2 linked regions of the Kluyveromyces lactis genome follow. The protein of the gene in region 1 interacts with the protein of each later gene in a pairwise test. Links are inferred from orthologs where the notes say so. Each region holds a gene or a part of one and is shown in the gene's direction. Other genes may lie near its edges. The genes, in order: ZNG1 and MAP1.

Evidence for each region.
Region 2: the proteins of ZNG1 (region 1) and MAP1 interact in a two-hybrid assay, tested with the Saccharomyces cerevisiae proteins (2 studies listed by BioGRID). The link is inferred for Kluyveromyces lactis from reciprocal best matches to the Saccharomyces cerevisiae genes ZNG1 and MAP1.

The regions. Positions count from the first base shown.
Region 1 is NC_006039.1:752,718-755,982, forward strand, and holds ZNG1 (GTP-dependent zinc transferase), read left to right. Parts: upstream 1-1,380; coding exon 1,381-2,649; downstream 2,650-3,265. Other genes in the region: ALG12 (dolichyl-P-Man:Man(7)GlcNAc(2)-PP-dolichol alpha-1,6-mannosyltransferase), read right to left, coding at 1-1,164; KLLA0_C08635g (uncharacterized protein), read right to left, coding at 2,839-3,265. UniProt on the Saccharomyces cerevisiae protein: Zinc chaperone that directly transfers zinc cofactor to target metalloproteins, thereby activating them.
Region 2 is NC_006040.1:1,553,462-1,556,706, forward strand, and holds MAP1 (methionine aminopeptidase MAP1), read left to right. Parts: upstream 1-1,493; coding exon 1,494-2,621; downstream 2,622-3,245. Other genes in the region: CDD1 (cytidine deaminase), read left to right, coding at 524-967. UniProt on the Saccharomyces cerevisiae protein: Cotranslationally removes the N-terminal methionine from nascent proteins. The N-terminal methionine is often cleaved when the second residue in the primary sequence is small and uncharged (Met-Ala-, Cys, Gly, Pro, Ser, Thr, or Val).

The DNA.
Region 1 (3,265 bases):
CATAGTGGAGATGTATGAAAACGCAATAGAGATAAACAGCGACAACAAAGGTGTTAATAACAAGACAAAACGTACCGCTACCCCAGTAACACTTTTGTTGTCAATATTTTTGAATAAATAAGCAGCAGCAGTAGCCCCTAGCAATGTAATTGGTGGGTTCGAATAAATGATAAATCTCCATTCTTTGTGGGGTTGCAAAGACATGACTAAAACATGAAAGTATGCAGCAATTCCTACGACCCTGAATGAATTTGGGCCAATCTTGAACCCTAGATGGTTCAAAAGTAGTGCAGTTGGCGGGATGAACATCATTGGAAGATACCCCGTCAAATATGCAAAGAAAGGTTGGGTACCCCATTTGGAAGATTCTCCGTGGACAACGTTGAATATAAATGCTTCGATTTCAGGAACAGTTAAACGGTTCCAGAAATAAGAATCAACTTGAATAGATAAGAAAATTCCGGCTCCAGCACCGATGAACCCGGTCCTAACAATCGATGTCAATGAGATTTTTTCATAAAAGAAGGCACCCAGAGCTACACCAACCGCCAATACAGCAATTTCTAATCTAAAAACAATAGCAGTAAAGGACAATAATATAATTGACCACCTATAGTTTTCTTCCAAAGCCCATGACAAACCTAATAGTGACAATGGTAACGCCATGACAAAATTTGGCAAAGGTCTTGAACTGTAGAACATTAAATGGAATTGAGTAGCAGTGAATAATCCAAACCAGTTAGTTAGATCAGATGCACTAATAGTATACTTTGTGGTTGATGTAGTCTCCTCCTTCCCACTTTTTTGCTCCTGATCTTTCGTTAAGGCTTTCTTCGCAGCTACAATGAATCTGTTTAACGCCACAGTGTTCGTTAAGCCGATTAAAAATCTCACCAACATCTGGGTTCTAAACGGATCTTTTGAGATAGTCAAATTGAACGGATAGGTAAGCGCTGAGAGGATTAATGGACCAACAAAACTTCTCGGAACAGCACCGGCGAAAGTGACATGGTCATAATTCGAAACGTCAAATACACCATAAGTTAAAATATCATGTACGGCCTGCAAAGTAAAACTTTCCTCAACCTTAGTATAAGGTGAATACCATAAATGTAGCGACACCGCACAAGTAAGAACTGTAGTTAGATCAAATATACCGTCCATTGTTCGATGGTTGGCTTTCTCATTTATCTTTGTTCATTGTTAAAGGGTAGAAGTTTTCAGAAATTACCTCATCTCTTACTTTTTATACCGAAAAGCTCATCACTCATGAAAAGGATTCATCATCATCATCACCAACATCGGCTAGTAAATATATAACAAATAACGAACCGTGTAAACTACTTGAAGACAAATATAATACCTCAAGTTAGTACTCCAATGTCGGCACTTAAGGATTTTAGTTTCAAAGAAGATGAAGATGGAGAACTTCCCGTTCTTGTTACTGGGAATGAACCTGATTTAAAGAAAATATTGGACACATATAAACCAGATGGTGGGAAACACATTGTGAGCGATAAAAAGATCGCTTTGGCTAATAGACAGTTGGACGAGGATTTTGATAGACAGCAGCGGATTCCTGTCACCATCATAACCGGATATCTTGGTGCTGGTAAATCAACTCTATTGGAACAAATAGCGTTAAAGGGCTCCAATAAAAGGTTAGCAGTTATATTGAACGAATTTGGGGATAGTTCAGAAATTGAAAAGTCTATTACCATCAAGAACAAGGGTGAAGTATATGAAGAATGGTTAGATTTGGGTAACGGTTGCTTATGTTGTTCTTTGAAGGATGTTGGTGTAAAAGCGATCGAAGATATGGTTGCCCGATCTCCAGGTAAAATTGATTACATTTTATTGGAAACATCGGGTATTGCAGACCCCGGACCCATAGCAAAGATGTTTTGGCAAGATAAAGGCTTGAACAGCAACGTATACATTGATGGAATTATAACTGTTCTTGATAGTGAACATATTATAACTTGTCTTGATGATATTTCTCCTACTGCCCATTGGCATGGAGAGAAAGTTACGGTTGATGATGAATCAAAAACAACCATTGCACATCTACAAATAGCTATGGCCGATGCAATCTTAGTTAACAAATCGGATAAAATTGAAGGAGATGAATCAAAGAAATATGACCTAGAAAACGTTGTTCGCTCCATCAACACAGTAGCACCGATATATTATACGAAATTCGGGGATATCAATTTGGATCTCGTATTGGATTTAAACGCATTCGAAAGTACCAAGTTTCTACAGAAAGACTACACAACTACTTTTCATGATCATAGAATATCAACGATTACTTTAGCTTTCCCCTTTTTCCAAACAGAAGATCAGCTTGATACTTTTATCAAAGATTTCCTTCAAGTCTTGTTATGGAAAGATTTTGGGGTAGATACTGGTTCAGGCTTGCAGTCAGCTCACCATGAGAATCCCGATTTCGAAGTGCACAGAACTAAGGGTGTGATAATGGTTGGAAATGAATGCAAGGTCATTCAAGGAGTGCGTGACACATATGATATAATCCCTGGTGAAAAGCTGCCTAACATTACCGAGAATAAAATTGTCCTGATCGGGAAACATTTGGATGAGAATTATATTAGGCACTTGCTTAATAAAGCAATAAGTAGTCAGAAATAATACAAGTGGTATTTAAAGTAGATATGTAACATTTGAAAGAAAGCAAAAAAAGAATATCGGTTGTATTTCGTCTACTTACTTTATTCATTCTCCATTAGTTTTGGTACTTTCCAATAAAAATATCTGAGCATATAGTTATAGTATGTTGTTGTTTTGACATGAAGTAACAAAATCTTCTCCAAAAGAGGATCATGATCTCACAGAGACAATGTTTTTAGCTCTTGGAATGATAGATCTTCTGTTGGCATAAACGGTGACCAAAGCACCAATGAACAAGAACGCGAACACAAATTTAGCATATGGGTGTTGCGAATAGTAGTAATCATTTTCCAACTCAACTTCATTCTTAGCACCCTCTTTAAGTTCCTCTTCTAAAGTAATCCCAACAGAAGTGTCACCATTTCTGAATTGTTCCACCTTCTTTATATACTCTTCGTGCATTTTCTCTATATCGGCAATCCTCAACTCTTCAGTGTAAGTGTACGTGATTGAAACGTCATTTACTGGTTTGTCCTTATCATCGGTCTCAACATGTTGCACGTATTTCATTAGATCTTCAAGACCTGAAATCACTTGGCCGAATACAACGTGTTTACCATCCAAATGTTCAAGCGGT
Region 2 (3,245 bases), on another chromosome or scaffold:
TTTCCACAACTGCTGTTTTATGTTCAAGCTTTCACCTTTTCTCGTTCCTGACTTATACCTAGTTTCAGTTTTTTTTTTCTTTCTTCTTTCTTTCTTCTTCCGCTTTAGTTTGAGCGCTGACACTTCAGGTCACGTGACGAGAATTTTTGGACCCTCGTACATGTTTAGCATGACACAAAACGTGATAGGACTTAAGGAAGAGCATCGTACTATACCCCTGCGAGCATCTAATATGGCGGGAAAACTGTATCAGTAGACAAACGGGAACTGTTAGCTTTACTATATTTACATACATATAGTTCATATGTGCTTTGCGATCAACGGTAATTTTTTGTAAGTAAAAGCAGCCAAGACGAAATCAAGCAGATAGTGACATATTTCATTATATAAAATCTCGATATGATAACGATGTATTTCTCACACAAGAAGATATCAGCCATCGTTGTATAAAGAAACCAAGAGGCGAGCGTATAATACACGCTGGACCCAGTTCGCTACTGAATACGCATCATTGCAGTATAAAATGGAGATCAAGAGCAAACTGGACGGTATTGAACCTACACAGGTAGATAGAGCCATTTTAGAGAGTCAAAAAGCAAAAAGTGGTTCCTATAGTCCATATTCAAAATTTAGGGTCGGATGTTGCATACTGACAAAAGATGGTACTTATATCACAGGAAGCAATGTGGAGAATGCTACGTATGGAGCCACCATATGTGCAGAAAGAGCTGCTATCGTGAAAGCTGTCACAAGCTCCCACAGAGCAGATTGGGTTTGTGTCGCTATCAACAGCGATATGAGAGATAATTACATTCCGCCATGTGGAATCTGTCGGCAAACGATCAGAGAGTTTGGAAAAGAAGATCTGCCAATAATAATGACAAACTGCGACACCTCTGTCAAAAAAATTATGACCCTCAATGAACTATTGCCAGAAAGCTTCGGCCCAGATCACTTTCATAGGTGAGCTAAGATTCGACTCTTTTTTGTGCAAGATTTGAACTTTTCCATAGTAAGAAACGAAATCAAAAATCAAGAAAGTTCTATATAGTAATTATTCATTAGCGTTTTGAGAGAAAGTTAAGAAAACATGCCTTTGGAAAACACCTTCTCATAAGCTAGCTACTTAGGATCAGAAGTAACCGCCAGTTAATCAAAATTTTCTAAGCACTATTCTCTCAATCGCCCTAAACCGAGGTTGTTCCTAAGATATTTAGAAATGTGTCATAGATAATGCGGAGTCTTCGCACTGTAGAATTAAAAGAAAAGTATGACATTTAAACTCATCTGACTTTTCAAATAAAATTTTTTGTTTCGACCTTTAATAAAGAACATGAGAACGAGATGCGATGAGAGAAGCTCAGATACAGCTCTTTCTACTCCTCTCTCTCACTTATTTATACCAAACGTATTCCAAGTGATATAGAAGGTGTTTCTGAACTGCACTTACTGACATAGCAGCTGTAAATCTTGGAAGACACTAAGAGGAAAAAATGCAGGAAAAAATCGCTAATGTCCGTTGTTCTAGTCTACAATGTGGTAAAGTTACAGATTCGATGTTAAAATGCCCGATTTGCTTGAAGCAAGGTATTGAAGAGGTCTTTTGTGGAGAATCTTGTTTCAAAGACGGGTACAAACAGCATAAGGCTTTACATTATGGTACAGATGGTTCTGGTGAGGTGTATGATCCGTTTCCAAAATTCAAGTATACTGGCAAGCTGAAAGCTCAATACCCTCTGTCGCCAAAAAGACAGGTCCCAGATGAGATCGAGAAACCAGATTGGGCAGAAAATGGGCTACCCATCATCGAACAAAGAAATGATAGAACAAACAAGATTCCTGTCTACAATAAGGAGCAAATTAAGAGGATCAGAAAAGCTTGTGCTCTAGGTAGAGAAGTGCTAGATGTTGCGGCCGCCGCAGTTAGACCAGGTATCACTACGGATGAAATTGATGAGATAGTGCATAACGAGACTATCAAGAGGGGAGCATACCCATCTCCTCTCAACTACTATAATTTCCCTAAATCCGTCTGTACTTCTGTGAACGAGATTATCTGTCATGGTGTTCCTGACAAATATGTTCTAAAAGAGGGAGATATTGTCAATTTAGATGTCTCATTGTATTACCAAGGCATGCATGCAGATTTAAACGAAACTTACTACGTTGGTGAGACTATCGCCAAGGATGTCATAAATACCGTTGAAACTGCCCGTGAATGTTTGAAACTCGCCATCAAGATGTGTAAACCAGGCGTAACTTTTCAATCCTTGGGAGACTGCATTGAAAAGCACTCCAAATCCAACAAATGCTCTGTTGTTAGGACTTACTGTGGTCATGGTGTCGGTGAGTTTTTCCACTGTGCCCCCAGCATTCCACATTATGCTAACAACAGAACGCCCGGTGTCATGAAACCTGGAATGGTCTTCACTATAGAACCTATGATTAACGAAGGTGTATGGCAAGATATCACCTGGCCTGACGATTGGACTTCTTCAACAAAGGATGGTAAAGTTAGTGCTCAGTTTGAGCAAACCCTTTTGGTCACCGAGAATGGTGTTGAAGTCTTGACGGCAAGGAACAAGAAGTCTCCAGGCGGCCCAAGAAATAGGATAAAATAGACCCAGTGAAATGACAATAGTTAAAAAATGAATATCAATAGAGAAAGTTACTGTTTACCTCGTTTCGTATAGGAAACAATCCATAAAACAGCCATCATCGTCGTCATAACGGACATCATTTCGGCATAGTCTTTCATGTGAATAGATTCAATACATATCATCATATAAATCAATTTACAGAAGACCAAAATATTTAGAGAATTCTCATTGAAAACCACTATTAGTATTTATTATACTGAAGATGTGCGGTCCTACTAAAGTATAATCTTCATCATCTTTGCATAAATATGAGGATCACGACAGCATGGATTGTTGCTTTGCTTCAATAACCGGGTAACCATTAGCTTTCGCCACTTCCAAAGAAAAAAAATTAATCGAAAACAGTGATCTAAGTTTTCTGATGGAGAAAGTAAAGCTTTTAATTATGGCTAACGTTCGGTGTTGAAGAAGAATAACATTCAAAAGAGTGAAAGATACTGTTGCATTTTCGTCCACAACGTTGATTCTAATAGAACCGAAATCAATCTATACTCTCTAATATTTAGTTGTGATATTCATTGCAGTCAATTGCTTGCATCTTATTATCCAGATCAAAAGTCATAATTTGACAATACCAATTACGTG